4 linked regions of the Caenorhabditis elegans genome follow. The protein of the gene in region 3 interacts with the protein of the main gene of each other region in a pairwise test. Each region holds a gene or a part of one and is shown on either strand. Other genes may lie near its edges. The genes, in order: rrsr-1, math-14, gei-4 and lir-2.

What was found.
Region 1: the proteins of gei-4 (region 3) and rrsr-1 interact in a two-hybrid assay, tested with the Caenorhabditis elegans proteins (one large-scale study listed by BioGRID).
Region 2: the proteins of gei-4 (region 3) and math-14 interact in a two-hybrid assay, tested with the Caenorhabditis elegans proteins (one large-scale study listed by BioGRID).
Region 4: the proteins of gei-4 (region 3) and lir-2 interact in a two-hybrid assay, tested with the Caenorhabditis elegans proteins (one large-scale study listed by BioGRID).

The regions. Positions count from the first base shown.
Region 1 is NC_003283.11:14,423,265-14,426,573, forward strand, and holds rrsr-1 (Ribosome biogenesis regulatory protein homolog), read right to left. Parts: upstream 1,745-3,309; 5' UTR 1,741-1,744; coding exon 1,640-1,740; intron 1,586-1,639; coding exon 848-1,585; intron 795-847; coding exon 632-794; 3' UTR 520-631; downstream 1-519. Other genes in the region: rpoa-12 (DNA-directed RNA polymerase subunit), read right to left, coding at 1-34.
Region 2 is NC_003280.10:1,867,485-1,871,311, reverse strand, and holds math-14 (MATH domain-containing protein), read right to left. Parts: upstream 1,893-3,827; 5' UTR 1,890-1,892; coding exon 1,777-1,889; intron 1,730-1,776; coding exon 1,452-1,729; intron 1,235-1,451; coding exon 1,108-1,234; intron 1,058-1,107; coding exon 622-1,057; 3' UTR 507-621; downstream 1-506. Other genes in the region: math-15 (MATH domain-containing protein), read right to left, coding at 3,529-3,827.
Region 3 is NC_003281.10:343,792-350,301, forward strand, and holds gei-4 (BZIP domain-containing protein), read right to left. Parts: upstream 4,637-6,510; 5' UTR 4,610-4,636; coding exon 4,427-4,609; intron 4,374-4,426; coding exon 4,254-4,373; intron 4,119-4,253; coding exon 4,050-4,118; coding exon of another isoform or gene 3,897-4,049; intron 3,647-3,896; coding exon 3,248-3,646; intron 3,093-3,247; coding exon of another isoform or gene 3,078-3,092; coding exon 2,977-3,077; intron 2,718-2,976; coding exon 2,498-2,717; intron 2,319-2,497; coding exon 2,232-2,318; intron 2,068-2,231; coding exon 1,675-2,067; intron 1,292-1,674; coding exon of another isoform or gene 1,283-1,291; coding exon 1,148-1,282; 3' UTR 515-1,147; downstream 1-514.
Region 4 is NC_003280.10:7,665,558-7,672,444, reverse strand, and holds lir-2 (C2H2-type domain-containing protein), read right to left. Parts: upstream 5,179-6,887; 5' UTR 4,440-5,178; coding exon 4,395-4,439; intron 4,042-4,394; exon of another isoform or gene 4,018-4,041; coding exon 3,794-4,017; intron 3,740-3,793; coding exon 3,527-3,739; intron 3,477-3,526; coding exon 3,068-3,476; intron 2,600-3,067; coding exon 2,530-2,599; intron 1,967-2,529; coding exon 1,786-1,966; intron 1,735-1,785; coding exon 1,315-1,734; intron 736-1,314; coding exon 651-735; 3' UTR 536-650; downstream 1-535. Other genes in the region: lir-1 (LIn-26 Related), read right to left, coding at 337-402; rpa-1 (putative replication factor A 73 kDa subunit), read right to left, coding at 5,512-5,625, 5,671-6,555, 6,605-6,700, 6,753-6,887.

The sequences.
Region 1 (3,309 bases), on a different chromosome or scaffold from region 3:
AGTCATCGTCGTATGAGAGGAAGTTCAAAGCCATTTTAAGCTGAATTAATGAAGTTTCGACTAAAATATATTGTTGAAGGTTGAAAAATGATGAGAACGCCGAAAAGATGACAAAATTTAAAGGGAGTGCGATGGAGCACGCTTGGAAATTGAGACACTACCGATTTGTGACTTTCGAAGAAACAGATTGCTGAGTAAATGGGAACAGCACTTTACTAGTTGAGAAAATATTAAGTCTTGACAGGCAAATTGTTAAATGATCTAAAATCACTTATCTTGGTTTGAAAGATGGCCGAGTTGCTGGATCTGGCAAAGAAAACTCCGCCTATTAATTTCATAGATTTGAAAATCGCGAATCAATGTTGGCTTTCTTACATTCAGAGAAAAAAAAAACATGCCAGAGAAAAATAATTGGGATTATATAAAACTCTGAACAAATTTAATAAAATAACCTATCCCAGGTAAATTCACAATCGAGAACTAAAACATCATTTCATGAAGAAAAGTAACATTTTCTACTTAACAGAACATTTATTTATTGAATGTTAAAATTTGATGAATAAAAAAGAAAGTAACAAAAAAAATAAACGAATCAAAATCAACAAATTTGAATAAAAAACAAGAACATAGATTATCCCTTTCTTGCTTTGGCCTTGTTGGCTCCCTTCTTTCCAGCACCACCAGTACCCTTCTTCTTGCCGTCGACCTTGTTTTTGAACCACTGTTGTCTGTGAATCTGACTCTTCTGTCTTGTTTGATCTTTAGCACCTTTCCTCTCCGATTTTTCCTTCTTCCTGAAATTAATTGAATTGAATAACGATAAAGGCCTAATTTTCTCACTACTCACTCTCTCAAAGGTCCAGCAACTGCAGCAGCCTTTTCTTCAACAATCTTTGCTTTCTTTGACTTCATTCGTTGAAGAATCTGGAGAGCACGTTCTTTCTCGCCAGAAACTGGAGCTTCGTTGGCTTCGAACTTTCTCTTCTTGCCAGTTTTCACGTTGGCCTTCTCTCCCTTCAATCCTTCCTGGAACTTTCCAGCGGAAGCTGTGGCAAGCTTTGCACGATCCACTGCGAAACGAACTTGTTGCTTTGATTTTTCCTTGGCATCGACTCCTACTCCGATCATCTTTTCTGTCGATGGACCGCTCTTGACTGTTGTCTTCATCTGACGAGCAAGATTCTTCATTCTCTGCATATCGTTCTTTGCAACTCTCTCCTTCTTCTTTTCGCGTCTCTCAGCAAAGAAATCCTTGTTCGGATCTTCTGCGTTGTCAGGAATTTCGATCAGCCAATCCTTGGTATCATCATTTCCACGTCTGTATCCATAGGTCGGTTTCCATTCCTTTGTCGCTTCATCGAACACCTTCTTATCCTTCTTTCTCTTCTCAATTCCCTTTTCAGCAGCATATTTCTCCCATTTCGTCGGCTCTTTTTTCTCTGGCAATCGTTTCTCACGAGGAAGACGGTAAGTGGCGGGAGGGAGAGTAACAATAATAGCCTCTTCTACTCTTTTTTGCTCCAGCTGCCAGATGTTGTTGAAAAGGAGTTGTGTGTTCTTCCTAGCACGTTCCTCGAGTCCTTCACTGAAAAATTATGAAATTTGCTGGTTTAATTAATAACGAAATTCTATAATATACCTTGCGTCTCCTTGGATTGGCTCTCGATCAATAAACAGCAGGTTACCCAAGTCAATGATTGGGTCAATGGCCTTTTCAACCTCCGTCGATTTGTCAGCCATTTCTCTGTAACATTAAAGTATTAACTGAAACTACTGAAAGTAGAAAAACGCTGCAACTGAACGGGAAAGACAGTGCGAATGTATTATAGAAACAGCTTTTCAGAACTGAAGCTTAAACAGCAATCGGCACCAATTTTCGTATAACTGTTATAAAGAAAATCAAAACTTTAACCGAAATCTAATTTTTCTGACTAATTTTAACAGGTAAATCATTTGAAAAGAGAACTGAAAGAGCTGAAAACGAAAAATAAAACAAAGGAAATAAGGGCGTGGCTTCTATTGCAAGTGGTGCGCGTGGTTTTTGCAACGCCACCGCACGCATTTTTCTTTTATTGTAGTTTTCGTCATCTCTCACAAAATACGAAGAAAATGTGAGCACATTATGTAAAGTAAAACAAACCACTACAAGCTTTTAATTAAAAAATAAATTACATTTAAAATTAGTAGAATCAGACCATCAGAGAGAACATAACGTCTGAAAGCGGATCTCTGTGAGTAATGTGGGTATTTTCCTGATTAAATGATTTCAAGAACCTCGATTAATCTGAAAACTCTTATGAAACTATCTTTCATAGGTTAAAATGCTTGAGGCTCAAAAATTTCCCTTTTTCGGTAATTATCCAGCGCCCTTTATAAATAAAAATGAAGAAAATTCTCTGTTCCAGCTCAAATTTCCAATGAGAAATATAGAAACAATACACCATATACATAGTTAGTAATTTTGATGATTTGGATCCCTAACATATTTCTCAAAGATACAAATGTCATCATGGAGCATACATTCCACCGCAGAAGGCAGCTCAATTATTAAATTTTATTGGGTATTGTTTACTCCTAACCGGGTGGTCCATAAAATTCTATTGTCCCAGATTTAGGATACATCGAAATGAAACCCTTGAATCTTACGGTAACTTTCAACACAAAAACGATGCCGCCTGATACTTGTTACGACAAAAGTTCACATAAAAATAAATCAACGAATTAGTGATTTTTCTGTGTTGAAAGCCGAAATGCGCGAAACTTGCACACCCCGCTTCCCTCATAAATCATCAAACAAATTAGCGAGGAAAAGAGTTTTGATGAATTACTGAGAAGAAAGGGTGTAACATCAATAACAACACTTTGGAGAGAGTATGTAACACCCAACTACTTACCATACATCTGCCTTTTGTTTCGGAAGCCGAACGGAGATCCTCAACTACAAGGTCATTGTATTATGATGTTGATGAGCCGAGATTGAAATGACAGATGACATAGGAATATGGACACTGAATTACCGGAAATTGGTATGGCTTTGAAGTCAGGAGAGATCTCGAGAGAGAGAGAACACGTGGGAAAATGGTAATTGTTGGCATATTTCTTACTGTGTGAATGATCTTCAAGGTGGGGTATCGTTGGGAAATTGTTTTGAAATTTGTTCTAAAAAGATAAAAAGAAGCGTACAACTATTCAAAAAAATTTAACTTTTTGAGTTGAAAAGTGGTGAAAGCTCATCATAGTTTTGGAATTCGACCAAAAAATGTTCTTTCTACGATTTTTATATTACGTTTTAATTGTTCCTACTCAAAC
Region 2 (3,827 bases), on a different chromosome or scaffold from region 3:
TGTTTACAATGCAATATTTAATACAAGGATTCAACATCTAAGATTGTTCTGAAATTTTTTAATAGAATCCAGAACCACAGTCATGATAGTATTGACAGAGAGCAGAGTATAAGCTGAATGTGCAGGGCAGAAAAATTGACACCAAAGAAGACTCACAGAACATGCATCTTATCAGTGAACAAGTGTACCAATAAGGAAGTTGAAATTGAAAGTAGCAATATAACTTTTCATGGAAAAAAAAAATTTCTTGGAGCCAAGTCGAATGAAAAGTGAATGATGGGTGAAGCTCAAGTACTAGAAAATTGTTCAAAACCGCTTTAATTATAACAGGAAACCTCCTCACAATCAGTCATAGAAAGCCTCTGAGAGGAAATTGAAAATCGAGCGTATAGTTCTTTATCGGTAGAAGTTCTTCCTTATAGTTAGATTGTTCATGTCATGTGAAAAGTGCTCATTATTTAGTGCTATACGTAGGTTCATATTGATTTCAACGCTAATTTCCCTTTTTCAACTCTTATAAAAATCTTTATTTCCATCGAATAATGATATTGGAAAATTGATACTTAGAAAAGAGCACAGACAGTAATAGTCGACGGAAGCAATTTAATGAAAATTGATAATTTATTGTTTCTTCACAGTGTAATTTTGCCCTCCGACATTGATCACACACTCAGAGAATTCATCTTCTAAATTATCACTACTCGAATCATTTTCTGAATGGGATTCGCTCGAATCGTCTTCTTCATTCTCACTGCTGGATTCGTCGTCACTTTCTTCAAGACTAGTGATTTTTCCACGAGCTTCAATAATGATACTACCATTCACCATATACTTCTCTTCCATGTCATCCCATCTCATGAATTTTTGAAAACCTTCACCCGATGGATAAATAAACAAGTCTGAATCACTAAAAGTCAAGCTCTGTCCATTCAAAGACACCAATCTTAGTTCATAATCTAATTCGATACTCCAAGATTTTCCAGGATCCTCACAATCCTCTTTTTCACATCTCAAAAATAATCCAAAAAATCCATCATCTCTTTTAATTTGCATTCTCCTTAAATTGAATATAGTTTGAACTAATGTACATATTATTCAATAAAAAACCATGGAATATTGTGACGTATCGTTGTTTCAGTGTAATAGTCGTCTCCTTCTTCAATGCTTGAAATATTTCTAACAGTACTGCTTAAAAGAAACGTTTTTGAATCCTCGTCTTCGTCGCATGGTAAGTCTGTAAAAAGTGTTATAGACAGAAATATAATAATCATTTACAGTCTAAAAATATGTCTGCGTCTTTCTTAATATATGATAAATACTTATAGTGCTACTAAAAAATACTTGTATTCCAAAGGTCATAGACACTCACCAGTCTAAAATTTTGAAAACATTTTTTCAAGCTTCAGAGCAAGTAACCAAGTTTTTTCGTAAAAAATGAAAGTCGAACTCACCAGTTATTTTAATTATTTTGACATGAGCTTCAACTACAACACTATCATCAACTACATAATCACTTTCCAATAAATCCCAACTAGTGTTCAGACCACCATCGAATATATTTGAATTATTGAAAGTGAACTTTTTGCTTTCCATCAAACTTTTCCCGTTGTGTGATACTAATTTCATCGTCCAATCAGTTTCAATCGACCATTCTCTGTTGTCCCAATTGTTTTTTTCACATTTCAATCCAAGACTAAATTCATCGTCACACTTAGCGATGCACATTCTCCTAAAGCACGTTCACCATTATTTCTTAAAACGTTTATCAAACAAAACCATGGAATATTGAATCGTTCTTCTGTGTCAGTGTAGTATATCTCTTCATCCACAAATCGTGAAATATTTTTGACAGTCGCGCTTAAGCTGAACTCTTTGCACAATTTAGACATTGTTCTGAAAACTTTTTCATATTACAGTAAACGTATGAACGTACGTTCTCTGTAATATGAAAAAAAATACACACATGTGAAAATAACAAAACAAATTTAATTATAAAAATCAATACTCAAAGAGAGCAAAAAAAAAAGGAGACGGAGCAATTCGATAGGTCTGAAGAAACATATGCAAGGGGACGATTTAAAAATGAGTTCTTATCAATGAAAAAAAAATTCCTAATATGGTGCAATTGACAGTTTAATGTAAAAATGTCAATTTTGCAAAATACAATGAGAAATTTTGTTTAGTTGCATGAAAGTTCAGAACTAAAACATATAATTTTTGGAACAAATAATTTTCAAACAAATGAAAAAACACTTTCAGAAAATCAGTATGGCGCTATAAATGTAGTTGTTTTATAATTTAAAACTCTTTCTTAGATTGTGCAAATATGCCAGTTTGATGGAGAAAAAATGAGGAATCTGTTAGGAAATTTTCAGAATTACTTGTTCCATTAAGATTTTTCACTCCAAGAAAACCGGCTGACGCCGATTCCTGAACTCAAAAATTACAAAAAATTCCTCATACCTTCAAAACCTTTATAAAAAATCACTGATAAGAGTATACTTATAGTCGTTTCCTAATAGTGTTGCTACGTTTAAAATGTCTATTCATTACAGTTTGAATGGCTTATTTCAACAATTTTTTCTATAATATCTTGATATCAACTTTCTTTTGAAAAAATTGACCAAACTATGAAACTGTTAAAAATATCCTAAGATTTGTGGATAGAGAGGACTACCCCACCGACATGGAAGAACGAGTCAATATTCCATGGTTAACATTACAGTTGATTTTCACAATATTTATAAAAACGGAAAATTTCAGCACTGAAATTTATAAAAATTTTCACCGACTCAGCTTTCAAAAACAGATAATACAATGGGATTGTCTGAAAATCCTGAATAACATGTCTTTATTAGACACAGCTCTATTGTCAGTGCTCCATATAAAAACAGGCTCCTGTAACAGGGATAAATTCACAATTCATTCAACATGAACTTCATCATCTACATTCTTGTCCTCATCGCATGTGCTCCAGCTGCTGTAAGTTTTCCCATTTTAGGCCTTTCTCCAAATGTTTTTTTTCAGATATCGATTTCCCACCAATTCCGGGAGTTATTGGAGGGTTTGGAGGAACAATTCCAGGAGAGACGGATGATTCAGGAATGTTTGAAGAAGTAGGAGCAGGAGTAAGAAAAGCAATTCCGGCAATTCGGAAAGTCGTGGGCGATGAACCAGCTAGAATTCCAGGAATAGTTGAAGAAGTCGGAGCTGCAGTTAGAAAGGCAATCCCAGGAATTCCGTCAACTGTATGAGCCTTTTTATTAACTGTGACATGTTTGAGATAAATATATTAAACATTATGAATACATATTTTTGGTTCCAAATGGGAAAACAAGAAATGTGTGACCAAATTTAGGTTCTGCTTTTTCTCTTTTTTTTTCAATTTCTTTACATTCAACCATTGCTCAAGATAGGTAAGGTTTAATTGATTTATGTAGAGAGTGCAAAACTAACGTTCATTTTAGGTTGAAAATAGAGAAGTTTCATATCACAGTGATAAAAATGAATTAGAATGAAAAATGCAGTCTATTGTCTTTTTACAGAATAGTTTTTCCCTCCAACATTGATCACACAGTCAGAGAATTCATCATCCAAATCATCAATACTTGTTTCATCTTCACATCCAATCGTTTTGGTTATCTTAACACGAGCTTCAATAATGATACTGTCGTTCACCATATACTTCTCTAGCATATCATCCCATCTTATGAGTTTACCATAGCCGTAACCAGAAGGCTCTTCGAAAATTGATGTGCTAGTGAGATTCAAGCTCTGTCCATTTTGAGACAACAATCTTAGATCATCCTTTACTTCAATTGTCCAGC
Region 3 (6,510 bases):
AATGGAGCGCGCTTGCCCACTGCCACTTTTTTATGGATTTTCCCCAGTTGTCATGAGAATTTTCATATTTTCGGGGTATTTGATAAACAAAATACGTATTTTCTGAAAATAAAAGCTAATTATAAACTCTCGAGAGACCCCGAGTGTAAGGTGCAATTATCGGGATGGAAAATTGAGGGATTTCCTCTCTTCCCAGTGCGAACAGCAAGAAAATTATTATTTTCCGCAAGAAATAGAATTTCGTATTAAATATTTACAACTGAATGCTCTTTTCATGGTTTATTGAGCTTTTTAATTGGATTTCTGGAGAAAATTGGTTGCCAAATATTTAGCAGACCCAACTTTGGTCTGCTAAATAATTTTTCTTGGGTCTGCTAAATATTTAGCAGACCCAATTTGGCTTGCCACGTGGCAAATATCGATTTTTTTCTATTACAATTTTTGTAAAAGAAAGTAGATAAACGCTGAAAAAAACACGCTAAAAAAAGGAATTTTCAAATCGGAAACTCAGGAATAAACTTCAATTTTTATTCTAATTAATCGTCAATATTCAAATTCGACGAAAATTTTCAGATTACCAAATATTTGGAAATTTGGAGAGGATTTTGTGTGGGAGAGGGATGGGGATAGAGTATAAGAATTTCGAGACGCAGGGTGAATATTTTCTTTAAAACAAGAAATGGGGGAAAAAAAGGATAATGTAAAAATAACATGGATTTTCAGGTAGTTCTAGATGGGGGTGGGTTTAAGGCAGATTTCACGGTAGCGCAGGGTTTGTTCGGATATTTGAGAGGAGGTTCTTGAGAATGAGAATATCTGGAAATTATTGGTAATGGGGGTTTCAGAAAAATGAAACAAAAAATTGGGTCACAGTGAAAATTAGAAATGGAAAGTTGAATAAAACGTTAAAAAATTAACAATTAAGAGGAAGAAAACTTATTTTTTGGGGCTTTTTTTGCAAACTTTTTTCAATTTTTAGTGGTTTTTTTTGTTGAATTTTTTGATTAAAAAAAGATAAAAAACTACGCGATTTTCAGTAAATAATACAGATGCAATTTTCAGAGGAAAGAAAAACAATGGACAAAGAAGAAGAAAAAAGAACAGAAAGAGAAGATTTGAAAAAAAAAGAACAGGAATTATTATATTATTAGGTTCTATAAGGATTGTTCAATATTTGTTGAGACTGTCCCTGCTGCTGCTGCTGGCCTTGTTGCTGTTGTCCCTGATTTTGGATAATCATGCCAGAAGTGTAGATGTTCTGAGGAATCGATTGGGACGACTGCTGAAAATCCTAAAGTTTGATTAGTTGGATGATTCTAGAATTGGGGAGATTTGAGTAAAAATCAATTTTTTTTTTGAAATTTGGGTCTGCTAAATATTTAGCATACCAACTTTGGGTCTGCTAAATATTTAGCAGACCAACTTTGGGTCTGCTAAATATTTAGCATACCCACTTTGGGTCTGCTAAATATTTAGCATACCCACTTTGGGTCTGCTAAATATTTAGCATACCCACTTTGGGTCTGCTAAATATTTAGCATACCAACTTCGGGCCTGCTAAATATTTAGCATACCAACTTTGGGTCTGCTAAATAGTTAGCATACCCAACCTCGAGTTTTATAGCAAAATTCCGCTCAAAAACTCATTTTTTCCTAGTTTTCATCGATATTCACCTGGTGTGACACCTGAATCTGCTGCTGTTGCATGTGTCCTTGATGGAGCACCTGGTGCTGTCCAATCCCATTGTTTCCCTGATTTCCAACCAACTGTTGGTGCTGTTGCTGACCATTCGAGATTATATAGGCCTGTGGCGGTGGTGTAACCGAGCGTGGCGTTCCCGACGACTGATTCGCGCGTTGTCGGAGAAGGATCTGCTGAGCGTGCTGTGTGCGCTTGACGACGTCACGTTCCAACGAGGAGAGAGCGTCCATATCGTCCTTTTTGGCGGGGGTGCCGGTGCCCATTGTGATGGTTCCAGAGGATCCGACGGCCATCTGTCCGGCGCTGATCATGTCGTCCATCTCGTTGCGACGACGCTTTGGAGTGTAGCGTTTTTGATTGTACGACTGAAAAATTAAAAATTAAAATGTTTTTTTTTTTTTTGAAATTTTGTTTTTCGAAAACACACATGCGCAAAGCCTACACACAACAAGCATTCTCATTCTCAATTTCAGTATCCAAAATTCAAAAAAAAGAAGAAGAAAAATAAAAGAAAAAAGGTTTCACTAACGTCTCCGAGATCGAGATCATGGTCGATTTGCGTGTCAGATTGCTCATGAGAGGGCCAAGACTCTTCTTTCGGTTCTTGTTTCGCGACCTACAACAAAATTTAGGAGTCTGAGATCTCGGAGAGTTGGGGAAGAAACCCGGGGTTTTTTTTTGGATTCGCTAGCGCAAATTTTCAAATTTTTCGTGCTCAAAAATAACTAAAAGTCATCGCAAGACCCTCTCTGTCTCTCGTTGGTGATTGATTAGTTGTAGCAAAAATATATTCACCTTTCTCTGATCAGGCGTCATTCGCTGGTAGCGAAGACGTGCCGCTTCGGCTCGTTTCGCGTTTCGGACCACAATCTGCTGAGCACGATCCAGTGCTTCTCCGTTGATACGGCCTATAGGCATGGCGAGCAGCATCTCTTCTTCCATACGACGGCGGCGGAACGCTTCTGTCCTTCGTTGATTGTAGACGCGCTTCTCGTCATCGTTCATTCGATGGTATCTGGAAATTTGGAGGTTTTTTGATCGAAAATGTGTGGAAACTCAGGTGAATTTCGCAATTGTTGGGTCTGCTAAATATTTAGCAGACCAAAGATGGGTATGCTAAATATTTAGCAGACCCAAATAAATATTTAGCAGACCAAAGTTGGGTATGCTAAATATTTAGCAGACCCATTCTGAATATTTAGCAGACCCAAGTTTGGTATGGTAAATATTTAGCAGACCCAAGCTATTCTGATTCCCCCGAATCTCTTCCTTACCGTTGACGAGCCGCCTCCGCTTTTTTCGCATTCTGCGTCTTGATGTGCAACCGGACAGCCTCGTCGTCCTTCTGTGGATCTCCTGTAGCCATTCCACATGCCTGAAACTCCGATTTCTGGAATGTTACGTCACGGTAGCAGCGGAAAAATTACAAATTTTGTGTGTTAGGGAGGAGAGATTTTACCAAAAATAGATTTTCACCCAATTAAATTTTCCTCTTCTCCGCTAATTTTCCAGATTTTCTGCTAGAATTCAATGTTCTATATTCACCTTAATCGCGCTCATCGCGTTCTGCATCTGCCGCATACGTCTCCGCGTATTGTGCGCCCGGCGCTCTTCCGGCGTCATTCTAGCGTAACGTGTACGGGCGGCCTCTGCCCACTTGGCCCGCATTCTCTTCTCTCTGAGCTGTTCGGTGATGTCCGGATCCTCTTGAATGTCATTTGTCTCCCGCAAAATCGATTCGAGCTCCTCCATCTCCTTCTCACGTTGCCGTTTTCGCTTCTGCGCCAACGTTCTTTTCAGGTTTAACTCTCGTTTCTCTTCGTTTGATAGTCGGTGATAACGCATTCGGGCGGCTTCTGCCTGTCGCGCCTTCTTTACTCGATCCTTCTCGCCTTTGTCGGGTGACGAGGAGAGTTTAACATTCATTCCTTCTACTTGTAGGTCCTGAAATGTTTCTGAGGTGTGCTCGGTGAGTTCGCTGCGTGATTTCATTCAATTCGTGTTTTCAGTGTGTTGAAACTTAAAATTCGCATTAAAACTCGAGAAATGGACAAATTCTGCTCGATTTCGCATCTTGGGTCTGCTAAATATTTAGCATACCCAACTTGGGCCTGCTAAATATTTAGCATACCCACCTTTGGTCTGCTAATTATTTAGCAGACCATAGTTGCAAAACTAAGCAAGTTCCAGTAACTTATCGACTTTTTGAGCAAATTTTTTGAAAAATCCGCTCAAATGCGAAAATCCACGCGGATTTCGAGCTGCAAAATTCAAAATTCCTTGAAAAAATCACTGAATAACACGAAATTCTCCCCAAAAAAAAACAAAGAAAAAACAACGAATTTACCACATCTCCTACTTTCAACTGAGGTATTTGTTGATTGTATGATCCAACTGATTGTTGTATTGAAGACATCTATAAAATAAATCACGATTCACAAACACAACCACAATTACGATAGAATTTACGGTAAAAAATGAGGAAAATCGAGATTTTTCGAGATTTCCGCCATTTTTTTAAGCCAAATCGCACGATTTTTACGATTTTTACCTGAACTGGCTGCTGATTATTCCACGACGTTGATGTTGAAGGTGTCGTACTGTCGATAAAATAAGCGTCAAGCATATTAACTAAACTCTTCTCTTCTCCCATCCGCCGCTGAGGTGTTTGCTGAAATTAAATAAAATTGAACATTTTCACTCGATTTCCTGAAAATCCCCTACCGTCACTGAATTAGGTATAAAAGTTGCGGAATTAGAGGAATGAAAATTGTTCGCATTTGAATTTGAATACGTCGTCGGCTGATAGGAGTTCTGTTGAAATTGCGATATTCCGTGTAGCTGCTGATTTTGATTACCGCCCGAGCGGGGATCCGAACTGTATGTGTATTGTATATTCTGCTGCATTTTTTATTATTTTTTGTGTTTCCGAGCCTGAAAAAATTGGAATTTTAGGTTTTTAAGCTAGTTTCCGATGAGAATTGCGATTTAATAAGGATATAATTGTGCTGGAAACAATTTTAATCACTTGAAAAATTAATTTTTTGAAGAAAAACCAAGGAAAACCAGGAAAACCAAAGAAAAATAAGAAATTAAATGGAGAAAGTGAGAAAAATAGAGAAGCAGATAAGTTTCGAATTCAAATTTGCCGGAGTGTCACTGGAGCGCACTTGCCTCCTTCTCAATTTTTCGAATTTCATAAGACTAGAATAATGAAAACACTGCTTAAAATGACTGGAACAAAAGAAGAATACATGAATTTTGATTGAAAAATTGAAAAATAAAATTGAAAACAACGTATCTCACTGCAAAAGCTTAAAAAATTCTTATTATAGTCCCAGCATGTACTAATTTCGACGGAATTGCGCCAAATTTTCACTGATCCACGTGGAATTTTCTGAATTTTACTGAAAATGCAAAAATCTTAGTTTCTTTTCGTGTTGGAGCTGTGTGCACAGGTGCCCAGGTGCACTGCTTGAACATGGTGGCCGTGAAAGAGAAAACTCGGTCAGTCCCTCTAAATCCTGCGGAAAAGGTCCTGCTGATCCACTTTTAAGCTAGTTTCAGCAAATCCAGAGGTATTTTGGGTTCCAGAGGCAGAGTTAGCATTCTAGAAGAGCAATGAATTTTGGTGGCCGACCTTTTATATCCGCGGTCCCCACGAAAAAGTCTCAGAGTGTCTCATTTCGGTTTGATCTGCGTAGATCTACAAAAAATGCCGGAGTTGAGGCGCAGAGTTCTCAACTGATTTTGCATGGTTAAGAACTTGCTGACGTCACATTTTTATGGGCCAAAAATTTCCGCATTTTTTTGTAGATCAAACCATAGTAGGACAGCCTGACACCACGAGGGCCCCGTATCCAAGTACCTGAGCCTAAAGCCTAATGTAATGGTTCTAATACCGTCTTCCAATTCCTATCGCTGTGGGTTCTCTGAAAATCCCTCCGAATTTTCCCATTTCACGGCCAAGGCATCAAATCCAACCTGTACCTCTCCGTTTCAAGTCGATTTTTAGAATTCAAATTTGTCCTCTTCGCGCCTAAACCGCCCATGCTCTTCCCATCATCACTGTTAACCACACTATTTTGTTGCCTGCCTGCCTTCTGTCTCTGCGCTCCCAAAATCAGCGGAAAAGAGTGTGTGATGGCGGATGGATGCGGTTGGGGATGGTAAGAAGAAGAAGAAGTGTAGGGAGATGAAGGGAACAAGACGGGGGGCAAAAAGTAGTAGTAGTAGAAGAGGAAGAAGACTAAGAGAAAACGAAACATATACACAAAAGAAGAGGACGATTTGGGGCGCATAGGACGAGAGGGAGGAGAGATTGGAGACGGGCGGGGCATTGTGTACGAGGGGAGGCCGACCGCGACGCGGAGACGCGTTGCACACTCGCATACACAATGCGCGCTGCGGAGAGTCCAAACATCACTAGACACTGTGCCGAGTGGCGGAGATCACGAGACACCCGGCACGAGAGAGCGCGCCCGTCGTGGAGTGTGTGTGCTTAGAGGCCGTGACGACAGCGTATCGATTGTGGAGAGTGCGTGGAGGAGTGCCGAATGAATGGGTAACGTGATGCGGAGAGAAAGATGGGGAGAGATGGATCGGAGGGTGCGGCAGACTCGAAAACAAGAGAGGCGAATGACGGCCGACAATAACTCTCAGGCACTCTCAGTGAGGAAAGAAGAAGGAGAAGAAGCACAGGAGATAGTATAAGGAGAGGAAGAGGAGCAGAACTTGGCTTCTACCGTATTCAGAGGCTATGATATCAGGCCTCTTGGGTCTGTTAAAATAGAGAACCCAGGCCTTAG
Region 4 (6,887 bases), on a different chromosome or scaffold from region 3:
TGTTTGAAAAAAAACTTTAATCAACTTAAATTTTGAATTCCGTATAAGAAAAGTGTTTTCAAATTTTTTTTCGATTTTTTCTTTAAAAAAAAAACGGAATTTTTCGTTTTTTTTTCAAAAGTGAATTTTTTTGGATTTTCTCAACAAAAAAAACCGACAATTTTTTCAGCGGCACCCTTGTTTAGGAAGTCGATTCGAATAATTAGGGGATACCAATGGTTAATATGGACCGAAAAAGGAATCAGAGGTACAATTGGAAGTTCTATGCAAAGTTTCAAACCAGAGAAAATGAGTAAATCAATATTTTAGATAATTTTTATAAATAAAAAAACTCACGCAATAACTGAGAAGATCGATCGTTGCTGCATCATCGTTCAGTTCGATGACCACAAATTTCGGCATCCCGGCCGGGTTCGAATCGTACGAAGACGACACCTATGTATATTATTTATATTATTAGGAATTACAAGAGCACGATAAAGATATTCAGAAATAGAAATAACTATTTAAATAAGAAAAAAGAAATTACCACAAATAATAAAAAGACCGACGATTTTATTGAAAATCGAGTAAGAACAAAATTTGCGTTGTAAAACTTAAAATTAAAAGAAAATATTATAAATATCAACGAAAAAAATTTAAAGAAACTATTAAATTTTTGCTTCTTTTCCATATTGATGATTCGGGAAACACTTTGCCATTGTATCCAGCCATTCTTTTCGTACTTCTGGTGTTCTGAAAAAAATTGACTTTGTAAGATTTTTTTATTTTGGAATGAAACGAATTAAATTCAGTTTTCAAATGGACATCGTCTGAATTGGATTTTATTCAAACATTTTTAATTTTTTTTAATGGAGCGATCTTGCGACAGAATTGAATTTAAAAAAAAAATTAAATATGCTCTTTTGAAACATTTTTAGTCTAAAATATGATCTAGAAAAAAAAATTTCTAAAATTTACATTTTATTCAAAATTTCAAATCTATTTTTGCGGGTTTATGCCAAAAATAAATTTTTGGCTTATCCTCACATTTGGATAAAATTACCATTTTAAATAGAATGGAAAAAAAAAATCTTGCGGTGCAGCTGCAACATTAGTAGCAATTTTCGTAATTTATAAAACAAATTGCGTACATTTTAAAATAATTATACAATTAAAACAGAAACCGGCTTTCATGCTTTTCGAGTGAGATTAGATAAAAAAAAATAATCTCAGTGAATTAGTGATTCAACTAAAAAAGAGCTGTCGCACAATTTTTAAAATCTTTAAAAAATAATTTTTTTAAAATTTTTTAAATTCAAAATAAAAACTCACATCATATTCACAGGTTCGTGTTCCGAATTGTGTTGTGATTGTCCGTGCTGCTTTACACGAACTTTTCGTACAGCTTGATATGGACATTGGGAACATTTGAATGGTTTATGAGTGGAGTGTTTCATCATTACGTGTTCAAAGAAATTCCATTTAGAACCACCAGAATTCAGGCGAATTCCAATTCCACAAATCTCACAAATCGCTGTGACTACATCTCCACAAACACTTCCAGAACTTCCACATGATTTCATTCGTTTTGGAGATGGGGAAACTTTTCCAAAAAGTGCCAAACCAGTCCGTATAGCTTCAGTTGCTAGTTGTTCTTCCAATTCAGCAGTTTGTTCATCAACTTCTTCACTAAATTCATCATCTTCGTCATTGCAAGGTTCCAGTTTAACTTCTACATCAACACGTTCCACTCTGAAATTGAAAAAAAATTATGAAATGAAAATTCTAATTTATTAATTCTACCTGCTCTTGATTGAATTCGTCATGTCCAATTGTGATACAGGGGAAACCGGCAATTCTTTGTTAGTTGGTGGAATTGGTGTTGACCAAAATGGTGTTCCATCTCGAGAAATCTCATCTGTTTCAGGTTCATGTTCATAGTTGGAATATTCTACCGTATCGAGTCTAGGCGCTCGAGGTATACCTGAAAAAACGGTTAAAATGTTTTATTTAATTTAAATAACAGCTGCAATTAAATTAATGTGATAATTTTCTGATGAGAAATAGGAAAATTGTTAGTTTCATCTCTCAATTTCCGTTTTTCGGTCATTTTTTAAATTTTTTAAACGAAATTTCTTCTTTTTTTAGTGAATCTAATTTTCTCGTTTTTGTTTCGTTTTTTAATCGATTTTCCGAAATTCGAAAAAAATCCGAAAAAGAATATATTGATTTATCGATTTTTCAATTTTCGTTGTTAAAAAAACCTAAATTTTTCTTTTAAAAAATAAAGAATTGTTCATAATTTCCGATTTTTTTTATTTTTTAAAAGAAGTTTCTTATTTTTCTCATCGAAATCAACATATTTTGGATAAAACAATAGTTTTCTCGACTTTTTTTCGGACATTTCTTTCATTTTTCTCGATTTTGCGATGTTTTATTTTCAGTTTTATCTGAAAAATACTGAGAATCAACAAAAAAAAACGGAAACTTTTTTGATTGTGACGAATTCGCTTTTTAAAGACAATTTGGGAAGTTTTTTACACTGACCAGTTCTGATAGACGATGCCACCATATCCGAACTTCCGATGTGCTGAAATCGAGAGAATCCATGATCAATCTGAAAATTATAAATTTTTTTAAAATTTCGTTTTGAACTAACATGAAACTTATTCTGCCTTCATTTGCTACCTGATTTAGCTTATAATAGTTAGAATCAAATAATTTCAAGCGAAAAGCTCACAAAAAGCTACACTCAACACACACACGCAACGCGCACACGCTCGCGCACCGCTCTTCACCCTGTTACTTCTCCAATGTCTCTTCGCTCACTATTTCTCTGCCTGCGCTCACAGTCGGAAACTCTAATTTCACGCAATGTTTCGGCGATTGTGAGCGTGAATTGAAGGGTGCTACCAACTAAATTTTTATTCTTCAAAGAAGATGTCACTGAATGAAGACGAAAATGAATGAAAAAACAGAAAACATTTAGAAATAACTTTTAGAGAAATGAAGAGCATGACAATCTTATTTCGATCCAATTCCAAAATTGGAACCAAAAATAATAATTTTTATAAAAAGTACTTACCAAAACCGATAATAGTCTTTTAAGTTCTTGAGGAGATGAAACATCAACGATCAAATGTGAGAGATATTGGTTTTGAGGACTGGGTAGCACCGATAAACGATTGCTCTTTTCATATGGACTTGCTGCACGACGTTTCCTATCATAATTGCTAACATTCGGATTCCGAATTGCTGATGGTGCTCTCGCCAATCTCACAGGCTCTTTTCGCAACAAAAATCCATTTTCTTTCGATGTTGAAGGATCAGATAAAAGTTTACTGAGAAGAGGGGCGCGAGTTGCACCTAAAGTTGGTAAAGAGATAACAGCTTGTGGCTCAGAATCTTTGCTTGAAGCTGATTCCATAGGCGATGACATCGAAATCGGTATTTCACTTTTTGATTGTGACGCCGATGAAGTTAGCAACTGACTTCTGAAAAACAATTTTAATTTCAACGAGCAAAAATGAATAAATAAACTTACAAAAGAGATTGATGACTTGTTTCAGTGAACAAATTTGTCATCGGTTGCTGAATTTGTTCATTCCCAAATTGTTCCGTTCTTCCTTTTTCTTCATCTTCTATGTCAAGGCAAACTCTGGCAAGTTGTTCATCATACTCTCCGATACAAATTCTCCGACGTACGAGTTCTTCCATCTTTTCATCAGTGGACATTTGATTAGAGCTTGGAATAGTTCTGAAGAAAAGATGATCATTACAGAAACCTTTAAAAAATGAAAAATTTTCATACTTCAACTCGTCTTTTATTCTCGCCAATAGAACCTTTTTTCGATTGTGAAAATGCGACTTGACTCGTTCCATTTCAGCTGGAATATCGAATTTTTCAGTTACTTTATCAGCGATTCGAGCCCAATGCTCATTCCTGGCGACATTTTCAGTTGTCAACCGGCGATATGAATTTTTGATGAGATCATCACTTCTTTCAAGAACCAAGGTGATAATGTAGTTGCTAACCTGAAAAAATATTAATGAAAAGGTCGAAAAATGGCGCATGAGAAGTGAAAATCAAAAAAATCTGACCCAAAATAAAATTGAAAAGTCAAAAAAAGAGATCTCACATGTTTTTCGAAACTCGAGAATGTGATTTTGAAAAAATAGGCGGAGCTGCGTTCAAAAACCTGACAACTCCTTAATTTTTAAAGACGAAAAACGTTTAAAGAATACAAAAGACACATAAATTTATTAATCTTGTTTCATTTTGTTTAAGATAGTCAACGCCAATCATCGGGGAGTTTCGAAAACCGCAAAACGCCGTTTCAAAGGTACAGTGACCATCAACAACTGTGCTCCATTGGAATATTGCACTTGGCGCTAATTCAAACCAAACTTACATCTCGGCTGATTTTCGCAGTTCGGGGGCCATTAGCTGCCAACATGACTGTCACTGATCTGAAAATGCTATTTTACTTTTAGAAATTGAAAATAAAATGGGAGACGGGTGGTGTCAGAGTGTCCCATTCCAGCTTAATCCGGGAATTTCCAGACATTTTTCCTGGGTAGCAAATTCGAATTAAATTCCCACAATTTTCAAATAAAAAACCGAGATGGGATACTGTGACACCACTAAACTCTAAATTGAGGAAAACAATTCGTGAACCTTTTTTTTTTGAAGATAACTAGAAAAGGTTGCGAATAAACGTATTAGGTGAAAAGAAACGGGATGAGCATATGGAGATGACCTTTATTGGGAATAGACACGGAGAACACCTTCTGTTGGGAACGCATTTGTGTGTGCTCTCCCAGACACTCCATAAGGTCAGCTGCATAACCCTAAATTGCATCGACAAATCTTAACAACTGCAACAGAAAAGCTACACTCAAAATATAAGACGGAAATTTTCTTTCAGCACGGCTTAGTTTGGACGAACAATTTGAAAGGAGTGTTCAAATTGCAACTGTTTGGAAACATAATAAAATCATTACGGAATTTATTTTTTTGGAAAATCAAAACAGGTGATAAAAGACGTTTCTGTAAATGAAAGTCACTAGTCTTTTCCACTAATCCGCCAATGTCTTTCATGGAAAATAAGACAAAAAAAAAGACAGCGTTAGAGAGAAATAGACGAAGAGAGCTCAAAGAGCTCGCTGGCTGCCCACGAACCTGCGGGTTAGCAATGGAAAATGTGGTCGTGGGCAGAGAGACGTAGGATAAATGTGGCAACCCAAGGCCATTTGTTGTCGGGCAGTCACCCGCTCTCAAGGACGCTGCAACGACCCAATGCTGTCACTTCAGAACACATCTCGAGGTCACCTGGCACTCAAAGATAGGCTCACATCGTATAGTTTATTCGCTAGTAAATGAGATGAAAAACATTGTACAAAATCAGCGATTGTGGATGTGAGACATGTGATAACTTTAGGCTCAAAAAAGGTTTTAATAATATTTAGGTTTTTTTAGATTTAAATGAAACAGTCGAGATCGGCACGATGTAATAAAAAACAGAACATTTAGTAGTCACTCATTTGTTGCATCTGCTCGATCATTTGCTTCAGATTTTCGATGTACTTGTCCTGATTGACATCATCCACACCATAGACAGTCATCTTCTGACGAACTTCTTCCTATAAAGAAAACAATCATAACGGATCTTCAAGAAATAAAGCTACATTGTACGAATCCATCTTGCAACGAAGTCTCCACATCTTTGGAACAAACTGAAGGCGTTCGAAAATAGCGTTGTACTCATCTGGGCTTTCATCGTGCAATTCTCCAAGCTCCGCAGCTGATTTTCCAACAATCTTCGCAGCACTATCTCCGAAAGCTGTGACATAGACCTGTCCGGTTTCGTCCGAAAGTTCAAACTGCATCATGTACAGCCACTTGAACTTGTTCATGTTCTTATTGCACTTTTCGCATCTGTAGTCACCATTTTCTCCCACAAGTTTCTTTTGGCAACCCTCTGAAGCGCATCCTCTATAAAGAGCATTCGTAGGATTTACTCTGGTAATCATTGCTTTGACAGTTGCGTAATCTCCCTTGTCGGAATCCTTTCCAAATTGCATTTCTTGGAGTCCTGCAATAGTACGTGGAGCTTCATTGGATCCTCCAGCAGCTTGGCTCATCATCTTAACTTCAGTGGTTGGTTTCACGTTTGCGTACCAATCATAGAGTTCAGACACTCCAGCGATTTCTGGCACCGAAATAATACGAGTTGCTGACCCAGTTCCCAAAGAGAATCCTCCATTAAACTCTCTTGGAATAACACCTTTGAATGCGATTACTTTTTGAACATAGTCATCAACAAGTGCTTTTGTTGCTTCGTCTCCCCAAAGTGTCAATCGAACAAGTGCTCCAGACTCGTCAATCAACTCCATTTCTCGCTTGATCAGAGATTTTCCAGCCTTTGAAGTGAATTCGGTAGCCTCTGGATCCATCTTTTCAACCACGACGAGAACGTCAATCAGTTGTCCAGCATATCCAGCGATTTCACCTAGCTTCACTCGTTTGAGTATGAGCTTTGGAGCAGCAAGCAATTCACCTCCAGCTTCAATCTGAAAATTTAATATTTTAGCTATGATGAATCGCTTTAAATTTACTAACGATAGAATCGCTGCGAAGTGTGATCTCGTAGTCGTGTCCAGTATTGTTGAACTTCTTATTTGCTTGTTTGACTGATCCACCAGACAAATAATAAGACTGAAAATATTAAATTAATTATTATGCATAATCCGATTAAAATAATACTAACAAGATTCTCGGTGATTGTGGTGTACAAGGACTCAGCAACCTCGTTGAATGCGGTACATCTGATTGTATCTCCGTTTGAATCGGTTATTTCAAAGTTGAACACTTTCGTGTTTTTCGCTGGGAAAGTACGAATTTC